Linked DNA regions of Mus musculus. The protein of the gene in region 3 binds, or shares a complex with, the protein of the main gene of each other region. Links are inferred from orthologs where the notes say so. Each region holds a gene or a part of one and is shown on either strand. Other genes may lie near its edges. The genes, in order: Plcg2, Frs2, Fgfr1, Fgf23 and Kl.

Evidence for each region.
Region 1: the proteins of Fgfr1 (region 3) and Plcg2 are in contact, whole or in part, in a cryo-EM structure (PDB 8JQI), measured with the Homo sapiens proteins. The link is inferred for Mus musculus from reciprocal best matches to the Homo sapiens genes FGFR1 and PLCG2. Residues at the interface, in NP_075598.2 of Homo sapiens: Lys504, Asn506, His541, Lys542, Lys598, Ser602, Tyr605, Gln606, Arg609, Glu612, Tyr613, Ser616, Lys617, Lys748, Asp755, Arg756, Val758, Ser762, Gln764, Glu765, Tyr766, Leu767, Asp768, Leu769; in NP_001412678.1 of Homo sapiens: Phe528, Arg540, Thr568, Phe569, Pro570, Asn571, Phe577, His585, Cys586, Arg587, Arg589, Ser590, Thr591, Met592, Gly595, Leu601, Thr602, Asn604, Leu622, Arg623, Cys624, Ala625, Glu626, Phe627, Glu738.
Region 2: the proteins of Fgfr1 (region 3) and Frs2 are in contact, whole or in part, in an NMR structure (PDB 1XR0), measured with the Homo sapiens proteins. The link is inferred for Mus musculus from reciprocal best matches to the Homo sapiens genes FGFR1 and FRS2. Residues at the interface, in NP_075598.2 of Homo sapiens: His409, Ser410, Gln411, Met412, Ala413, Val414, His415, Lys416, Leu417, Ala418, Lys419, Ser420, Ile421, Pro422, Leu423, Arg424, Arg425, Gln426, Val427, Thr428, Val429, Ser430; in NP_001036020.1 of Homo sapiens: Asn25, Val26, Asp27, Asp28, Leu33, Leu47, Thr49, Arg50, Asp53, Ser54, Val55, Trp57, Leu60, Cys61, Leu62, Arg63, Arg64, Tyr65, Gly66, Tyr67, Asp68, Ser69, Leu71, Ser73, Phe74, Gln81, Thr82, Ile86, Phe87, Ala88.
Region 4: the proteins of Fgfr1 (region 3) and Fgf23 are in contact, whole or in part, in a cryo-EM structure (PDB 7YSH), measured with the Homo sapiens proteins. The link is inferred for Mus musculus from reciprocal best matches to the Homo sapiens genes FGFR1 and FGF23. Residues at the interface, in NP_075598.2 of Homo sapiens: Glu159, Lys160, Glu162, Lys163, Lys164, Leu165, His166, Ala167, Val168, Pro169, Lys172, Gln244, Asp246, Val248, Glu249, Arg250, Ser251, Pro252, Val279, Tyr280, Ser281, Asp282, Pro283, Gln284, Pro285, His286, Ile287, Ala314, Gly315, Val316; in NP_065689.1 of Homo sapiens: Leu31, Leu32, Gly33, Ser34, Trp36, Gly37, Tyr43, Ala45, Thr46, Ala47, Arg48, Asn49, Ser50, His52, His66, Ile75, Arg76, Ser77, Glu78, Asp79, Ala80, Gly81, Val83, Val84, Tyr93, Phe108, His117, Gln118, Thr119, Asn122.
Region 5: the proteins of Fgfr1 (region 3) and Kl are in contact, whole or in part, in a cryo-EM structure (PDB 7YSH), measured with the Homo sapiens proteins. The link is inferred for Mus musculus from reciprocal best matches to the Homo sapiens genes FGFR1 and KL. Residues at the interface, in NP_075598.2 of Homo sapiens: Asn272, Gln288, Leu290, His292, Ile293, Asn296, Gly301, Pro302, Leu305, Pro306, Tyr307, Val308, Gln309, Ile310, Leu311, Lys312, Glu322, Leu326, His327, Leu328, Arg329, Asn330, Glu334, Asp335, Thr340, Leu342, Leu349, His351; in NP_004786.2 of Homo sapiens: Ser539, Gln540, Phe541, Asp543, Leu544, Asn545, Val546, Tyr547, Leu548, Trp549, Asp550, Val551, Lys555, Arg556, Leu557, Val560, Val563, Thr565, Lys566, Arg568, Tyr571, Val573, Ala576, Glu625, Arg628.

Annotation. Positions count from the first base shown.
Region 1 is NC_000074.6:117,609,771-117,613,280, forward strand, and holds part of Plcg2 (1-phosphatidylinositol 4,5-bisphosphate phosphodiesterase gamma-2), read left to right. Parts: intron 1-962; coding exon 963-1,172; intron 1,173-3,133; coding exon 3,134-3,279; intron 3,280-3,510. UniProt on the Homo sapiens protein: The production of the second messenger molecules diacylglycerol (DAG) and inositol 1,4,5-trisphosphate (IP3) is mediated by activated phosphatidylinositol-specific phospholipase C enzymes. It is a crucial enzyme in transmembrane signaling.
Region 2 is NC_000076.6:117,145,666-117,149,847, reverse strand, and holds the start of Frs2 (fibroblast growth factor receptor substrate 2), read left to right. Parts: upstream 1-1,373; 5' UTR 1,374-1,456; intron 1,457-4,182. UniProt on the Homo sapiens protein: Adapter protein that links activated FGR and NGF receptors to downstream signaling pathways.
Region 3 is NC_000074.6:25,563,759-25,567,268, reverse strand, and holds part of Fgfr1 (fibroblast growth factor receptor 1 isoform 1 precursor), read right to left. Parts: intron 2,930-3,510; coding exon 2,785-2,929; intron 559-2,784; coding exon 356-558; intron 1-355. UniProt on the Homo sapiens protein: Tyrosine-protein kinase that acts as a cell-surface receptor for fibroblast growth factors and plays an essential role in the regulation of embryonic development, cell proliferation, differentiation and migration.
Region 4 is NC_000072.6:127,079,349-127,082,806, forward strand, and holds the end of Fgf23 (fibroblast growth factor 23 precursor), read left to right. Parts: intron 1-689; coding exon 690-1,130; 3' UTR 1,131-1,683; coding exon of another isoform or gene 1,684-1,818; 3' UTR 1,819-2,948; downstream 2,949-3,458. UniProt on the Homo sapiens protein: Regulator of phosphate homeostasis. Inhibits renal tubular phosphate transport by reducing SLC34A1 levels. Up-regulates EGR1 expression in the presence of KL. Acts directly on the parathyroid to decrease PTH secretion. Regulator of vitamin-D metabolism.
Region 5 is NC_000071.6:150,951,163-150,955,410, reverse strand, and holds the start of Kl (klotho precursor), read right to left. Parts: upstream 2,805-4,248; 5' UTR 2,695-2,804; coding exon 1,870-2,694; intron 1-1,869. UniProt on the Homo sapiens protein: May have weak glycosidase activity towards glucuronylated steroids. However, it lacks essential active site Glu residues at positions 239 and 872, suggesting it may be inactive as a glycosidase in vivo.

The DNA.
Region 1 (3,510 bases), about 92 Mb from region 3:
TCAGCAAGCAGGCTAGGCTGGCTGACCAGCGAGCTCTGGGGATCCTCCTGCAAGCCTGCATACTGAGATTACACAGTACCATACCTGGCTCTCTTCTCTTCTCTTCTCTTCTCTTCTCTTCTCTTCTCTTCTCTTCTCTTCTCTTCTCTTCTCTTCTCCTTTCCTATCCTTTCTTTTCTTTTTTTCTTTCTTTCGTCTTTCTTTCTTTCTTTCTTTCTTTTTTATAACTTGTGGACTCGAACTCAGGTTTACATAGTTGGCACTTTACAGAGTTGGCCACCACCCTATCCCTTCAGTGTCTTTTCTTTTTAAAGATTTATTCATTATTATACATAAGTACATTGTAGCTGACTTCTGACACACCAGAAGAGGGCATCAGATCTCATTACAGATGGTTATGAGCCACCATGTGGTTGCTGGGATTTGAACTCAGGACCTTTGGAAGAGCAGTCAGTGTTCTTACCTGCTGAGCCATCTTGCCAACCCTCATGGCCTTTTCAAGAGAGTTCTGGTCTCTTTTTGTCACCTGGGCCTTCTGCCATCACATCCAGAAGTATGGTTGACTGTCTCCTCTGTCTTAGTCAGTGCTCTATTGCTTTGAAGAGACATAACCATGCAACTCTTACAGAGTAAAACATCTAATTGGAGACTTGCTTACAGGTTCAGCGGTTTAGTCCATTGTAATCAGGGTGGGAAGCATGCAGGCAGACTTGGTGTTAAAGAGGTGCCTGAGAGGTCTACATCTGCATCCTCAGGTAGCAGGAGGACAGAGAGAGCTATGGGGTCACGCTTGGGCCCTTGAAACCTCAAAGCTCATCCCTGTGACATACTTCCTCCAACAAGGTCACACCTACTCCAATGAGGCCACATCTCTGAATAGTGCCCCTCCCTGGTGACCAAGTATTTAAATCTTTGAGCCTATAGGAGCTGTTCTTATTCAAAGGATCATATCCTCTCTGCAGAAAATCCCGACTTCCGAGAAATCCGCTCTTTTGTGGAGACGAAGGCAGACAGCATTGTCAGGCAAAAACCTGTCGATCTATTGCGATACAATCAGAAGGGCCTGACCCGAGTCTACCCCAAGGGACAGAGAGTTGACTCTTCGAACTATGACCCCTTCCGTCTGTGGCTGTGCGGCTCCCAGATGGTGGCACTCAATTTCCAGACTCCAGGTAAGGGATGAAGGCAGCCAGTCTGTCCAGGCTAGGTGGTGGCCCTGTCATGGCCAGCAATGTCACTTGGGCAGCTAGTGGGATGTGATTGTTTCTGAACAAGTGACTGGGCTGGCCCGTCAAGGTTGAACTTGGATGCTGGTTAGTACAAGGCCCTAGGGACTGACAAAGGGGACAGTGGACATATGGCTGAAGCAGGCTCGGTGACCACGAGTGACAGAGAGGTATTATGACCATTCTGGTTTAGGAAGGGAATGTAATAACTTATTGAACTAGTAAGTGTTGTTTTTAAAACAACATCCCAAACATCTGATTTACCAAATGAAGACTCAGGAGCAAGATGCTGGGGTGAAAGCATCTTGCTAGCTCAGAGAGGCAGAGAGAGCACCCAGCTGACTGATGCCCCAGAAGGAAAAGGCTCCTTCTCCATGTTGTCTTAAACACCCTTCAACTCACAGACCCTCTTCTCCTTCTCCTGGCTTCTCTTATGTTCACTCCCTGTCAACTGGTTGCTTGCTTTGCCTCTTGACCTATGGTTGATTTAATTTAATCCTCTTTACACAAAGCTCTTGGGTCAAAGGTGTGCGCTAGGGCTGAGCCACACCACAACAAGAAAAGGTTTTTCCAGTTGACAATCTCGGGGCTTACAGTGTGATCAAATATCCTGCAACAGGTAGGTAAGTCTCAGAGGGACTGATGGATCCAGGTGTGACTGGATCCAAGCTCTCAGTGGCTGCCTTACCTCTTTGTGCGCTTTCTCTCCAAGGGCTTCATGCCTACCCTCTCTAGACTCTTATATAGTTGGGAAAACCCACGCACACAAATTTTAGACGTTGCATCCTGTGAATTCGTTTGTTCGTTTCTCTTATTTATTTAACAACTACACCCACCTCAGCTCTAGGAATCTGTAGGTCAGGTCCCATCCCTGTCTACCGCAGATGCCACTGCCTCCTGGACCCGTGGCTCTTGTTCCCAAGAGTGGGTGCACAGTGTGGGGCAGACATTTCTTACTGCTGAGGAATCCTCCCCCTAGCCAACCCCCGGACCACTGGGCACCTGTGTCCTGAGGCACTTGCCCAGTTCCTCCTCTAGAGCATGGGCACACTCCTTCAGCATAGGTCACTACTGTAGTTTCACGAAGCTCACCTGCTCTTGGCTCCTCAGGGAGAAAACTGACTTGTCCTTACAATTTCTGCTCAAGGCTCTGCTCTTTGAGTAACATTAACTCTTTCCCCTCTCACCAAGTCAAGGGATGTTTGCCATTTGTTTCCCTGCAAAGCGGTGGGTCCTCTTGGTATCCCACCAAGCTGGCTTTTTATTGATAGTGCTAACTATCTACCTGTTGTGTGAACTGAGATTATGTGTGGGTGTGCTTGCCATGGTCCACACGTGATGGTCAGAGGACAGGGCATGCGTGCCATGAAACATGCGTGGAGGTCAGAGGAATAGGGCATACATAGATTGCACACGTGTGTGGAGGTTGGAGGACAGGGTGCTTATGCCATGGTCCACACTTGAAGGCCAGAGGAACAGGGTGTCTATGTCATGGAACACACGTGGAGGTCTGAGGACAGCTGGTAGAGTCTTTCCTTCTATCTTTATGTGATTCTGGAGGCCACACTCAGGTCGGTGGCTTTATCTACTTGCCGAGTCACCTGTCCCTTGAACCCTGTGATTTACCCTGTGGTGTAAGCAAGCGTTCTACCCCTGGCCTGCACCCAGTTTCAGTAGATTCTAATTCCTTAAGGCTTACACCTCTCCAGACTCCCTGTAAGATGGTTTCCTGGTGCGGGATTCTTTCCTAACGCTCCCCATGTTTCCCTGGAGTCAGATGTCTTTTCTGAACCGCTTCCCCCCCCCCCCCCCAGTCAGTGCAGGAAGGTCACGTGGCCTGTGCCCATGTGCGCCCGGAGCTGGTGTTCCCTGGCTGCCCCCACAGCGCCCTTCGGCTCTCTTTTCAGACAAATACATGCAGATGAACCACGCGCTGTTTTCGCTCAATGGGCGAACAGGCTACGTCCTGCAGCCTGAGAGCATGCGCTCTGAGAAGTATGATCCGATGCCCCTGGAGTCCCAGAGGAAGATCCTGATGACACTCACTGTCAAGGTAGAGGGGGCTCCCTGGGGGGCGCTCTTGTCCTGTTAATCCAGCACCATCTCAACTGCAACCTCATGTGGTTCACCTGGGGTCATTCTGGGCTGAAAACCCTTCCTGTCACTTGCCCTAGTCTGGGTGTGACGTATGCTCTTGGGGTTCATGTGAGGTCAACCTCTAGCCGAGAGGAGAGTTCATTTCTCCTTTGTCTTAGAGAGGTCACAGCTTACTCTTTCTCTCTGT
Region 2 (4,182 bases), on a different chromosome or scaffold from region 3:
TTGCATCTTAAATTTGTAATAAGGGGTTTTCTTTTACTCTGCCTTTCTCAAAGCAGATTGTCTTAACACTTGTCCCTGCAGTATTTAACAGACACTATGCATGCTAAGAAACTCTTTTCTTTTTTGCTCTTCCTTTTTTCCTCCTCCTCTCCTTCTTTTTGGACAAGAGTCTTGCTTCATAGTCCTGGCCACCTTTGTCTGGAAACTCACTGTAAAGCTTAGGCTGGCTAGAAACTCTCCGGACTCTCCCTGCCTCAGCCTTTTTAGACTGCTGGAAACAAAATAGCTTGTCAGGTTTGAGCCCTTTTCTTCCATGTGGGGCTTTGCTTCATACTGAAAACCTGCCTTTAATATTTGATGTTTCTTGATTTTGTGACAGAGCAAATCTTTTAAGATCGTCTCACTTCTTTGCCTGACACTGACTCTGTAGGCTCTCATACTGTCTGTCTTTGGTAAGTTTCAAAAGTGCCCAGGTCTTCTCTATTGCTAGTTACTGGTTAGGTATAAGAATTGTGCGGACGTACTCAGTCCTGGGTACTTTGAAATGCTTACTATTGCGTTATGCATTATATTATTTTTAACGTCTACAATCCAGAGATGAACACGACACACACACACACCAGGGTGAAATGTAAAGAAACAGGATCCTGGCACTAAGATTGCATAGCCCATCATCTCAGCCTTTGTTTAAAGTGCAAAGGATGACCCATATAGGGAAATAATTTGGCTCCCGTCTTTGAATAATTTGAAAAGTCTTGTTTGGGGCAAATGAGAGTTCTACGCATACCACAAATTAAAGTAAAACCAAGAGCCAGCATATGTGGTAAAGTCCGATACTTTGGCCGATTTCCTTCTCTGTAAGACACAGAGAATAAAAGCACCAATTTCCAGGAGTTTGAAGGTTATTAAATGAGTTAACGCCACCGAATCGCGTAATAAATGCCCTGTCTACCACGCCGTAAGCCTTCCTTCGATAAATGTCAACTGCATTTTCACGCGGGACAGAAGCGAGAAAGGATAACACCGCCGGCCGGTCGGCAAGCCGGTGAATGCTCCGGGCTCGGCGAAATTAGATTCTCCGGGCCCCTGTAGAATTAAGTAGAAGGGAGCGATCCTAACAGGCGTTAAAATAAGGGGTGCCAGCGGTAGCTCGGGGCCCGCGGGACCACAGGGGTTAGCAAGGAGCCCGGGGGCGGGGCTCGGGGGCGGGTCCGCTGGCGCCCGGAGCAGAGGCCACGCCCCTCCCGGGAGGGCTGGCAGCTCCAGCCTGGGAGCAGTTCCGGTGCCAAACCCCTGCCCTCCCCCGCTCCCCCGGAAGTGCTTGTCTAGGGTTCGGGCTGGAGAGAGGCCTTGTAGACACAGGCGCCGAGGCTCCGAGCAGGGGGTCAGGTCGCGGGGAGAGTGAGGAGCTCCGCGGCTGCCACCCCGCGCCCCTCGCAGCGCCTTCGCGCCGACGGTGAGTAGCCGGGGACGCCGAGCGGGGCCTGCGCTGGGCGAGCGAGCCTCGGACCCGGCTGTCCGCTGCAGGTTCAGCCGTCGGGGATCCGGGGAAGGGGTTCGTCGGCCGCCGCGGAGCGCGCGCGGCCCGCGGGCCGGGAAGGGGCGCGATGCGGGGCCGCGGAGTGGGCGGGGCGCAGCCGGAGCGGGGTTCCCGGAGCCGCGGCCGCCCGCAGAGGGGGGACTCCGTAGCGGGGCCCGGCCGTCGGCGCTGCGACCCCCTCTCTGCATCGGGCAAGTGGGCTCGGTGCCTCCGCTGTGGGGTCTGTGCACTCGGACGCTGGGGACCGGGACAGCCAGACTGCACTGGACATCAGTGTCCAACTTTCGTCGCCTCTTGGATCTGTCCCCTCTTCCCGTCTCAGTAATTATCCTGTGTCCCAGGGGTGTAGTCAGTCCGAGGGTGGGGCGCTCCCTGTGTGGATGCTGGCGATCTCTTGCGGGGCTTGCGTCGGGGTCGCCGGAGGTTCGATTTGGACTCGGCTCGAAACTTAACTGGGTCTGGATGCCTGCGTAGGGTCGGTCAGTGAGGCAGTACCATTCCTCGAAGGGTCTTTGCTCCCTTGCAAACTGAAACTGTTGGGAGTTACTTCTTAAAAACAAAGATTTGAGGAGATTCGTAGATTCAGAGGAGTTTCCCCGTGTTCTTGCTGACGTTAAAAAAAAAAAAAAAACCATGCTATTCTGTAATCAGCCTTCCGAATTCCTGCGCTCATCCGAAGTCACAGTTGTTAAGACTTCAGTCGGGACCTTGCACAAGTTGACTGCAAAAGGCTGGAGAATTGTATCCTTTTTTTTCACCCCAGTTTGTTTACTTTCATACTTGGAACTGTCATTTCTTGAGCTAATTATATATATGTGTATATATGTGTGTATATACACACACACACACACATATACACACACACATATATATACACACACATATGTATGTATATTATATGTATATATATATATATATATATATATATATATATATATATAATTTCCCTCAGTTTCTCCTCGGAGGTTCTTCGTGTAGTCCAGTTGTGGGAACGCGGGGTGGGGGTGTTCCCACAGCGGGACAGAGGTGTTTGTTGATTTAAGCATATGAAGTGTTTAACTCCAATAAACTGAGACTTTCCTAGAGAAGAAAATCTTGTAGGCACTGTTAGTAAACTGAGTTTAGGTGATAAACTACGGATAAAAGGTTTGTAGGAAATAATGGAGCTATTTTCCGCTTTTATTGAGTTTTAAATTATTATCAGATAGTTTATTTGTTGCAAATGACCTTGTGGTGGTGTCAATATACACAAGTCATCTTCATGAAACCAGTGACATTATCTGCCCTTATTATGCTTACGTTAGGATTTATACTGTTTCTCTCTCTCTCTCTCTCTCTCTCTCTCTCTCTCTCTCTCTCTCTCTCGTACTTTCTCTTTCGACTACTGGAAGGGAAGATATCATGAATGAGGGGAATGATTTGAAGTGACGAGTTGCATATACTGTCTTATGCAAAAGAAAAGTTTATTTCATTAAAAAACAAATTCTCTGTGTGTGTAATGCCAGAGGTGAACCTAGACTACCCAGCACCATGATCATGATGATCCTTTTGAGACAGGGTCTCCTGAGCCTGGAGCTTGTACTTCCGGCTGGGCTGCTTGGCCAGCAAGCCCCAGGGACCGTCCTGTGTTTGCCCCATGTCCCCAGTCCAGGTCTACTGGTTATCGGCACATGGCCCAGCATCTAGTTTATAATGGAGGTGCTGTCGGTGCCAGTTCAGGTTCTCTCACTTTCTCAGTCAGCAAGCACTCGACGTGGGAGCAGTCTCCCCAGCCCCTCAAATCTCTGTCAAGGTTGTTGATAATAAACAAAGGGGGTGTTTTTCTAGCCCGTGGGAAAGTGTGAGTGAAGATAAGTTGTAGTGTTTAGACTCGGAATGATGCGGTAGCCCCTTAGTGTTTGAAGAACTCAGTTGTTCAGAGCCCAAGATTGGGATGTTGAATTAAAGTCTGGAAAATGAGTCAAGTTAGGTTTGATTATGTATTTGTTCTCTGGTTATAGTGTGTTTTGAAGGGAAAAAAGTATGGGAGTTATAAAAGCAAAAAAAGGGAATTGGTAAAAATCAAATACTTTCGGGCATTATAACTTTTAACTATTGCTCAAGTCAATTCAAATGACATTGAGCATTTTCTATGCGTCAGACTCTTTAGTGAACCATGTAGGGAAAACAAAGCCAAAGCCATTAGAACTTGGGATTCATGTTTTGATAATTTTCCAAGTGTGTTGAAATTGTGAAGACTTGAATTGCACTGTCTAGGAATGCTAAACCTCCCCTGGATTGGGACTTAATGGGAGGGGGGGGGGCTGTTGAGTGCTTCACGAAGAACCGGTGCTAGGCATGCTGCCTCACCAAGAGGAAGCTGGGCTGTGGAATGTGAACCTAGTGGGATGTAAGATACTTGTACAAAAGTTTACAGTATAAGTAAGTATCTGTCTGAATGTGGTGTCATGCTTGCAGTGGCAAAGGAGTGGCAAGGTGACCCTGTTCACAACAAAAGACTCTGAAAGCAAAAAGTGTGTGTAAATCCTTAACCACATAGATGGGCTTATCTGAAGTTTGCACTTGTACAAAAGTGAAGTGTTTGTTATAACTTAGGTCACGTGTCACAGTTGAGACGGGAACACTTACGGGTGTGGGCCAAT
Region 3 (3,510 bases):
GCAAAAAACGCTCCACCTCGGGTTTACGGATTCCTAGTCCCTAAAGGCACCTTTCTGGGTCAGCCCTCTTCTGAGGAAGGATTAATCTTTCACACGCCTGCACCTTCCAACCCGTTTCCTCCCACCATGTCTCAGGTGACAGAGGGAGGTCTTTGTGGCTGGGGTACAGGGTGGACAGGCATAGAGCCAGAGTTGGTTTATAACATTCCAATGTGTCTGGTCCAGAAGTTGGAGCGAAGTCCAAAGTGGGAGATGAGGAGCCAACCAGGAGGGTAGGAAAGGGAGCGGGCCCCAGAGGCCCAGGAAGAGGAGGCGGCAAGACAGTGGTGAGCCTGCAAATCCCCCATCTACTTTCTGTTACCTGTCTGCGCAGAGGGATGCTCTTGGCCAGCTTGTGCACAGCCATCTGGCTATGGAAGTCGCTCTTCTTGGTGCCGCTCTTCATCTTATAGATGATGACAGAGCCCAACATGCAGGAGATCAGGAAGGCCCCGGTGCAGTAGATAATGATCTCCAGGTAGAGCGGTGAGGTCATCACAGCTGGTCTCTCTTCCAGGGCTGGGTCAGTGTGGACAGTGTGTCAGCAGGTCATGGGGGCTGGGGGGAAGCTTCACTCACGAGAGGTGTGCCCCATGAGAAACCCAGCACCTGCCCCTCTCCCCTGGGATCCTGGCATCAAAGGACCTTGGGACCTCTGAAGTATCCTTAAACATCCTTAAACTCAAACCCCATAGAGGGTACATACAACCTAGACTATCCTGCAAAACAAGCCCAACACTCACTCACTAACTCCAGAGCCAACTTGCATAGTTGATCACTGGACTGGAAGGGCACCAAAGACCCTGCATATATGTTGCACACACATATCATATGGAAACAGGCTGCTATGCCCTAGAGACCAGATAGTCCTCAAAGCACATGACAGAGTGGGACTCTAATGAATGCTCATCTCATGTATTACTAAACACCCGTCACCTCTGTTAGATCAGGTCAGTAAATAGCTAAAACACAGGCTGAGTAAATATAGTGTCTAAATATGTCTCTAGGTGAAAAAACATGTTTTTAAGAAACCTATTCATGGGGCTGGAGAGTTGGCTCAGCTGTTAAGAGCACTCACTGCTCTTCCAGAGGTCCTGAGTTCAAATACCAGCAACCACATGGTGGCTCACAACCACCCATAATGAGATCTGATGCCCTCTTCTGGTGTGTCTGAAAACAGCTACAGTGTACTTATATATAATAAATAAATAAATCTTAAAAAAAAAAAAAAGGAAGAAGAAGAAGAAAAGAAATCTATTCATGGTCCCACAGGATTCTTAAAAGGTAAGGAAATGGGATGGGGGCCAGGCAATCATTTTTCTATGTTCTTTTACCTCTATTTAGAATTCATACAGTGCTGGCTAGTTTTTTGTCAACTTGACACACGCTAAAGTCATCCAAGAGGAGGGAACCTCACTGGAGAAAATGCCTCCATAAGAGCAGGCTGTAGGCAGGCCTGTAGGTCATTTTCTTAATTAGTGATTGATAGGGGGAGGGCCCAGTGCATTGTGGGTGGTGCCATCCAGGTGCCCTGGGTGCTATAAGCAAGCAGGCTGAGCAAGCCAAGTTGCAGCCGGCACTCTTTCCTTCCCAAGCTGATCTCGGGGTTTCACTGCTGCCATAGTGATCCCAGCTAAGACACACACTCATCCCCACTTGCTAGTCAGTCTATCTTTCCCTTCAGCGTAAGAAACATTGTCTGCCTACTGGAACCTCCTTGTCCTGCATGCATGCAGCCTTCCTCCAACAGTCCTCCCTTTAAAACCTCAGCCAGCCGAAGTGATACCCTTGGGAGTCCTCCCAGCCCAACAAGGAAACAACAGAGCTGATGACCACAGGGAAGTATTCTGTTGGTGTCTGTCCATCATCCACCTCCCCTCCCAGCCCCGCCCCGCCCATCAACTGTCAGGAAATGAAGACTCACAGGGAGCACTGACTAAACAGACAGAGACGATGGTAGAGATAGGATGCTTCTTTGCTAGCGGCAGTGTGGGAGACTGCTGGGCAAGCAAGGTGGAAGGGAAGAGTAGAGAAGGTATGCACTTAGCGGCCACAGAAAGAGCAGCTCTCAGGCCACATGCAAGTAAGACCATACTGAGCCTGTGGTCACCAGCCCACCACCCGGCAAGGCCACAGGGTCCTTCCTTCCTGGGTAGCACACTGACACAGATCTTCTCACATGGGAGGGCAGGCCAGGAGGGATATCCTAAGAGGACCAATGGGCACTTCCAGATGTCCTGAATGGCTAAGACAGGCCTCAGGTTTGCTATCCTGGCACGTCAATCAAAGTGCAGAGCAGAATGAAGAGTGGGCCAGCAATACTCCAGGGAAGCCGTAGTAAGCTCCTATTGGCATGTATTCATGGAGGAGAGGCCCATGGCTTTCCGTGGGACTGGCTAAAGAAGACCCCATCATTCAAAGCCTCTGTACCAAATGGATGAGGGAAGATGCTGTACCCAAGGATGGAAGGAGCCTGTGCTAGAAAGCCCTGCTGCAAGGTAAACCCAGGGCTCACGCATGCATTACATTGACCAGGGAGAAAGCCAGATGTACATGTGCAAGGGGAGGCTGACGCGTCACTTCCTGAAAACCCAGGAACTCCCCCTGCATGGCCCTCAAAGCCAGAGCAGAAAAGGGTACGCAGCAGACGGGAGCCGTCCCTTTCTGCCTCTCCCCAGCCCTGTAACGGATGCGCTGCTCCCATGGCAAAAGGCAGGACCCGGAAAGGACCAGTGCACTGTATACCTTCCAGAACGGTCAACCATGCAGAGTGATGGGAGAGTCCGATAGAGTTACCCGCCAAGCACGTATACTCCCCCGCATCCTCAAAGGAGACATTCCGTAGATGAAGCACCTCCATTTCCTTGTCGGTGGTATTAACTCCAGCAGTCTAGAAGAGACGACGGAAGCAAAATGGACAAGCCCGGGACATGAGACCTCCGAGAGGCGGAGAAACGGAGGGGACAGAGGAGGGGACCAAAACCAGAAGAAGAAACGCTCCCCAGCATCTCCTTTGCAACAAGGCAAAAAAACCACACCACCAGCCAGCGAGACCTGTTAGAGGAAAACAGCGAGGCTCTGGAGGGGAGGCTCTCCGGCAGACCTGAGGAGACGACGGCTTGGTTACGACCCTTCACCAGACGCTGGCAGCCACTGGCCCAGCCAAGCATGCGGGCGGTGGGCAGCATGGAGAAATGAGGCCTGGCAGGTAGGGGGCTGTTTGGTTTTAGGTAAAGAGAATCAGTGGGTACAGACGGGACAGCAAGGAAAGAAAAGCAGCCCCCAGAGCATCCCGAAAACGCACACATGCACGCACAACGTGCAGATACTGGTCTGAGAGAGAATATCTGGCCCCTTCTTTTTGTCACTATCAAAAACTTCAGTCAGAAACATCATTCCTAACATCTCACAAGTCCGCAGACAGGCACAAGTACTTATACACAGAAACGCACACACATAGAAGAAAAAAGG
Region 4 (3,458 bases), on a different chromosome or scaffold from region 3:
CAGCTACTTGGTTGTCTGAGGCAGGAGAACTGAAAGTTCGAGGTCTCCCTCTACACATCAGAACTCACGACCATTTTGGATAACTGTGAGGTTCTGCCTCAAAAAAAAGAAAGGAAGGAAGGAAGGAAGGAAGGAAGAAGAGGAAAGAAAAAAGAAAAGAAAGAAAGAAGAAAGGAAGGAAGGGAGGAGAAAAAAGAAAGAAAAAGAAGAAAGAAGAAAAGAAAACACAAAGGAGCAAAGATAAAAGCTGGGAATGTATCTCAGTGGTAAAGTACTTTCATAGCGTCGGTGAAATCTAGTCAAACCCCGGGAAGGAGATAGAGGGACGAGGGGGCAGGGGTTGAAGATGAATGTTAGTCTAGTCCTCCCTGCAGATAATAGAGACAGACAGAGATATAAACAGAATGAATGGATATGAATATGAATGAGAATAGGAATGTTTAGTTCTCCCTGCGGCGGGCACTGAACAAGAAGAACGTCATCAGGTCTTTCTAGGCACTGCCCCAGCAAGCTGGGCACGCTAGCCCAAGGTCTCCCGGAAGTGCCCTCCAGAGCCCTAATAGCAGCCACTCTCCTGAAGCCTGAGCCAAGTTCAGCTCTTTCCTAAGAGGGAGGTGCAGAGCTGGGCTGAGCATCACCCCCTAGCGGAGCGCCGGCCCTCAACTTCTTGTGTTTCCTTTCTCTTACAGCTTCACTTCAGCCCAGAGAATTGCAAGTTCCGCCAGTGGACGCTGGAGAATGGCTATGACGTCTACTTGTCGCAGAAGCATCACTACCTGGTGAGCCTGGGCCGCGCCAAGCGCATCTTCCAGCCGGGCACCAACCCGCCGCCCTTCTCCCAGTTCCTGGCTCGCAGGAACGAGGTCCCGCTGCTGCATTTCTACACTGTTCGCCCACGGCGCCACACGCGCAGCGCCGAGGACCCACCGGAGCGCGACCCACTGAACGTGCTCAAGCCGCGGCCCCGCGCCACGCCTGTGCCTGTATCCTGCTCTCGCGAGCTGCCGAGCGCAGAGGAAGGTGGCCCCGCAGCCAGCGATCCTCTGGGGGTGCTGCGCAGAGGCCGTGGAGATGCTCGCGGGGGCGCGGGAGGCGCGGATAGGTGTCGCCCCTTTCCCAGGTTCGTCTAGGTCCCCAGGCCAGGCTGCGTCCGCCTCCATCCTCCAGTCGGTTCAGCCCACGTAGAGGAAGGACTAGGGTACCTCGAGGATGTCTGCTTCTCTCCCTTCCCTATGGGCCTGAGAGTCACCTGCGAGGTTCCAGCCAGGCACCGCTATTCAGAATTAAGAGCCAACGGTGGGAGGCTGGAGAGGTGGCGCAGACAGTTCTCAGCACCCACAAATACCTGTAATTCTAGCTCCAGGGGAATCTGTACTCACACACACACACATCCACACACACACACACACACATACATGTAATTTTAAATGTTAATCTGATTTAAAGACCCCAACAGGTAAACTAGACACGAAGCTCTTTTTATTTTATTTTACTAACAGGTAAACCAGACACTTGGCCTTTATTAGCCGGGTCTCTTGCCTAGCATTTTAATCGATCAGTTAGCACGAGGAAAGAGTTCACGCCTTGAACACAGGGAAGAGGCCATCTCTGCAGCTTCTAGTTACTATTCTGGGATTCACGGGTGTTTGAGTTTGAGCACCTTGACCTTAATGTCTTCACTAGGCAAGTCGAAGAAAGACGCGCATTTCTTCTCTTTGGGAAGAGCTTTGGATTGGCGGGAGGCTGACAAGGACACCTAAACCGAACACATTTCAGAGTTCAGCCTCCCTGAGGAATGATTCGCCAATGATTCTGTGATAGGACCAGTCAGTAGCTTTTGAATTTGCCCTGGCTCAGCAAAGTCTACCTTGCTAGGGTGTTTTGCAAAATGCAAACGCTCGAACTCTCTCTAAAGAGGCATTTTTAGTGAAAGCCTCCGCTAGCAGGTTGACTTGTAATATATTCTAAGCGAATGTGCCCGGGGTGGGGGTGGAGGTGGGGTGGGGGAGAAGGGTCCTTGAGACCTCGGATTGTTCTAGGTTAGGGTTTCTGTGAAGAGGAAAGGGAAAAAAGAGGTTTTTTTTTTTTTGTTTTGTTTTGTTTTTTTGTTTTTTTGTTTTTTTTAAGTTTGTTTTTGTTTTCCTAAGTAAAATGGGATCCAGGATTAGCTAGGTAGAGTCAGGGGAGGACTCCTGCAGGAGCTAACCCCAAAATGGCAGCTACTCTTGGGAACTTTTAGGGCATTAAACAAAGACATCTTTCATTTGTCCCAGAAACTCCAGGGCTGTCCTGGGGTGAGCATAGCCTCACAGTGAACAGCAAGAAGTGTTAGGCAGGCTTTAAGGTTCTCCCCGCTTCTGCACCTTAGCTGGTAATCGACTTCAACAAAGGGCACCTCCTGTCTACCTCTATTTAAATGAGAATCAGAAGGGCACAGTAATGGCCCAGTCCTTCAGACAGCTTTGAGTTTTCCACTGTCTTCCTGTACACAGCCTTAGAAATGGATCCACTGCTCTTGCTTGTCAGATGAACAGCAGGCAACAATAGCAGGCAACTCGGCCAGTTCCACCCCTGAAGTACTAACGCTGTGCACAGCAGTAGATGCCATGAACCCCAACCCTTTTCCGCACTGGCTTTCACTTCCCATTGGGGTACTAGCCTGTACACCAGCTACCAGAAGCCTCCCCACTGAGGCAACCACGTGGGAAACCCCAGAAAGAACTTGAGTAGCAAACTGGCTGTAAACTCACAAGCCCAGAACCACCGCGGGGCTTTCTTTTTTGGCAGAGCCAAGGTCATCTTGTAATTCCTTAGGTCCCTTCACATGTGGCAATATTTATTTATTTATTTGAAAGATTTTTGCCTATCACTCTATATTTATAGTTATTTATAAAATCTAACCCCACTTCTGTCCTTGTGTTTTAAATAAAAATAAGACTTCTCTCAGCTTCTGTCTCTTGTCCTCTTTGTGTGACTGCATAAATGCATGTTGAGACACACGAGTAAAATTGGAAAATCTGGGGGAAACAGAATAGGAAAAGGAAAAAGAATTTGAAAAAGACACACTGGCATAACCATACTGAAATCTCAGTTAACCAGACATAAATCGTATTAATCTTCAGTTAACCAGATACACATCATAGTAGCATTCCTTCACTATTAACATAGAGTGGGCCTGATCAATTTATGAAGATAAAAGGTTTGAGCCACACTTTAGAAGGTCTAGTCCACAACGCAGAAGGCAGCTGCTCTCAGGTCTGTGGCAGCTCATCAGCACATTGTGGTGGGAACCTGTGGCAGAGGAAAGCCACTTACTTGCAGAAAAAGAGGCTGAGGCCCAACTAGTCTGTACACCCCCAGTGACCTAAGGACCTCTCACGAAGCCCCACCTCTTACCTTACCTCCCACCAGCACCACCGGCTGGTGACCAGACCTTCCACATGTGAGGGGAGGTAAGC
Region 5 (4,248 bases), on a different chromosome or scaffold from region 3:
GTAGATCAGTCTCAGAGCAGGGGAAAAGGGTTGGTTTCCCAGCATTCCACTCTGGGATGCAAACTAATACTCAAAGGGCTCAGCGGCCCCCAGCTCTTCCCAAAACAACCAGTATCGAAACCAAAAGCGCCGGTTTCCAAAATCTGCACATCTTGACTTTTTCAGATAAAGTAAGAACTCCTCAACCCCGTCACACAAACACCAACGATCAGCACCCAGAGCAAAAGAAAAGGATCGTTCGCAGTGGCATTCGTTTGTGATGCTTTACTTCTAAATAATTTAATGGGCTGGCTAAATTCTAAACCGAGAGGAATTAAAAAAGCAAAATTAATATTTTACAGTAACTCGGGTTTCAAGCGCAGCACCAGCAAAAATAAGCCACGTGCCTGCCAGTTGCTAATGTCTTGTGGCTACAAAGTCCACTGCACTTCTACAAAGGACAGTTAGTGTTTGGCAACATTTTTGTGTAATTCCCCAGAAATACAATGGCAAAGTTAAAGGCATGACTGACAGGGAGCGGCAGAGAGTTCATGCAATCCTTCATGCTATAAGTGATTACGGAGCACCAGACTTACAACCCCCCACTTTCACATACATAGAATTTATCATATGTACTCCAGACACTAGAATTTGCATCATTTAAATTTCAAGGAGTGATCCTTGTCCCTAATCTCTCTCTGGCAGGAACTGATAATTTGTCTTTTCTTCAAAAGATGGTTCAGTTCACCCACCTGCCCCCACCCCCATGGTTTTTCTACATCAGTCCTTCTGGGTTGATTTGGTCCAGGGCTTGTTGGTTTCTTTAAAAGATGGGCATATTGACCACACTTAGGAATCACTATTGTAAAAGTAACAGTATATAAAAATACACACCTACATGAAACCAAAGCCACGAGCAAACCCAGGTTTTGTGAAGCTGACATACAATGTCAGTTAGCCAATATCTCACTACCCAGAGCGCAGAATCGACTCAATAGGCCAGCGCTGTTCTGCCACAATTGTCTATGGTTAATTAGAAGTGTTTAGAACAGGCCTAGCTCTGTAGCTTAGAGTGTTGAAGTGCCCGACTGGTTAGAAAGTGTTTAGAAGGAGCCTCTGTCTTCAGGACGTTCAGAACCACTGACTGTATTTGGTCACTCACTTCATCGGTGAGGAATCCCTTCAACTAGAGAGAGCACTGTGGAAACACAGATGTTGGAAGAGCCATAAGCACACCCCCCTGTAGATGGTCCCGTGTTTATATGTCCATCTTGCACTGTGTGGGGGGGCAGGGAGGGGGGACTGTCTTCAGACCTATGACAATTCATGGTGATAGAGGCAAAGAAGTTCCTATCCAGCCCTGCCTCAGAAGGGACCTCAAAACACAGCTTAAACCCAAACAGTTCAAGGATTTTGACACTGCTACCAAACTAGATAACCTTGAGTCACTAGCAAGACGGGTTTTACTGAATTAACACAGAGGTCTTGCACGGGCAATGCCTGTTTGCAGCTCGTGAACACGGGTGTTGCTTTCATTCACCGTCTTTATTCTGACTCTGCAGCTGATTCTAACAAATCTTGCTGGCCATTACCTCTAGGAACTTCGACTTCCCAACACCTGGGGAGAAACGCTTGCTCAGTGGAGAAATGGCCCCGTGTCCTTTTCTAGGGGCCCTAAAGCACGCGCTGCAGGATTCCGCTCCAGTTTCTAACTCCACTTCTAGAAGAGAACCCCAGAGCTGCTGGGGGGGGGGGGGTGTCTCCGCCTGCAAAGTGTCAGACCTGTGTGACCTCGTAATGGGTTCAAGTAAGGATTTCTGGAAGTGGCTCTGGCACTTCCGAGGCCCTCTGTCCCCCAAGGTGGCCCCCTGCCTGGCCCCTCGAACTCACCAAAAGTAGGTTGTGGGCAACCAGGTACCCGAGCCTGGAGCTGCCCCTCACGCCCGGGGCCAGGCGCCCGGTGGCATACCCGTGCCAGGCCACCACGTAGGGGTTGTCAATGGTGATCCAGTACTTGACCTGACCACCGAAGTGGCGGAAGCAGAGCTCGGCATAATCCCTGAAATGGTCGGCCAGGGCGCGATTGGCCCATCCGCCATAGGTGTCCTGCAGGCGCTGTGGCAGGTCCCAATGGTACAGGGTAACCACCGGCTGCACGCCCAGCTCCCGCAGCCGCTCCAGCAGCCGCCGGTAGTAGCGCAGCCCCTCGCGGTTGGGAGTGCCCGCGGTGCCATTGGGGAGCACCCGCGCCCACGATATGGAGAAGCGGTAGTGGGTGACCCCCAGTTCGCGCAGCCCCTCTGTGTCGCGGTAGACGTTGTTGTAACTATCGCTGGCCACATCTCCAGTGGAGGACAGGGGAGGCGACGGGGCACCCGACGGCGCCACGACGATCGGGGAGTCGGACGGGGCCGCCCCAGAGTGATGGGTGAAAGTGTCCCAGATGGACGCGCCTTTGCCGTGCTGTCGCCAGCCGCCCTCGGTCTGATAGGCGGCGCTGCCTACCGCCCAGAGGAAACCGTCGGGGAAGGTGTCGTGGAGGAGGCCAGCGGCCTCTGGGGCAGGAGCGCGCGCGAAGCGAGCCCAGGTCTGCGCGCCCTGACCCGGCTCAGCGCTCAGGCAGCGGGCGCGCAGGGCGAGCAGCAGCAGATGCAGCAACAGCAAACGGAGCAGCACCAGCCGCGGCGGGCGGCGAGGAGGGGCGCGGGCTAGCATGCTGCGGGAGCCGGGAGGGCACCGCGCCGCGCCCCTATATGCCCGCGCCCCGCCGCCCTCCCTACGCGGTGCCCACCCCCGCTCCCGCCGCCCCACGAGCAATGATTATCCAGAGCAGGCGCCGCCCCCCACTCCGGCCTGGCACGGGGGCGGGACAGGGGCTCAGCCAGCCAGGGTGCCCAGAGAGAGCACAGCAGGGGTCATAGGGACGTCGGAGAACAAGCACCTGCTGCAGCCAGCTCAGGGAGCAGACTATTCCACATCGCACAATCCTGTGGCCTCCATCCTGAGATGTCCCCGCGTCGCCCACTCCCCGCGTCCACTCCCTTTGCCTTCCTGGGACTGGTGTTCCTGGAGGACAGAAACAGCTGCCCAACTTTGCACAACGTTTGGCGCCTCGGGGGTGGGGGAGTGGGGAAAATCACCTGCTTTCCCCTTTCTCCCATTCTGAGCCCTCTATCCAGGGGAATCTTTCAGAGAACATCCCAGGAGAGCTTTGCTGTATCTGAACACAGCAGGAAGGCAGGGTGGGGAATTCAGGTGGAACTTTGCGAGGTTTAAGAGTACTCAGGCAGTTTTCTTCTGATAAGAGAGTCCCCCATCCCATTAGAGAAGGCGAGAGTCCGCCTTGCCTCAGACCCCAGCCTGCAGAGCCTACAAGAACACACAGTGGGTCTAAGAATGATGGGTTGTGTGAGGCTTCTGTTTCTCCTTTCCCTGGGTCGTCCCCTTCTCTTCCCTCCCCCGTTATCCCCCTTTAACCCTTTAAATCAGCAGTGTTCCTTAATGAGATCCCTCTGGATTCTCTGGTGAGGTTGTAGCTGTGAGTTGTTTTCCAAGAGAAAGAAAAACTCCAGACCACTCACATTTCAACTTCCATGGCACCATATCCCGTTCATCACCCTTTGCCATCCTTCTTATGAATATCCACGTTTTGACGTCCAGCCCTGGCTTAGCAAGTGGGGTCTCTGGGCAGGAGTGCTGGGTGGGAGACTTCTGTCCCCCACGCCGTGTATGTATGTATGTATGTATGAATGTACACCTATACCTATACATATACACGGGCTTTGTCCCATTCATTGGGAAACATCTCGAAGCTCAAAGGACAAATGTACACTAAGATGAGTCCCTAAGGGAAGCCCAGAAAAAATGAAGGATGCCACCATCCTACTCAGTAAGGTACAACTCAGCCGCTGCCTCCCGCCCACAGAGGGATGAGTAACATCCTTGCAGAACAGGCACTCTGAGAGTGATGTCCTCCTCAGAATTCCACACAAATAGAAAGTCAATACAGCCACAAGTGTTACATTCGAAGATGCTTGCTACAATGTCAGCACAGTAAACTTACTCCAGTACTTGATGAAATAGTCTCAACTCCAGCAAGCACACATTATCACCATTAGTGATATGAAGTCACCAGGTGGGGACAAAGACACCTCGTTTCTATTCAGTGTGTCATTAAAATATCTCAATAAATGAAAAAATAACAATGAGCAATTTTTTTTAAATCGCTTCATGCAGCCTTGCAGTCACCATCTTACCGGAAGATTCGAC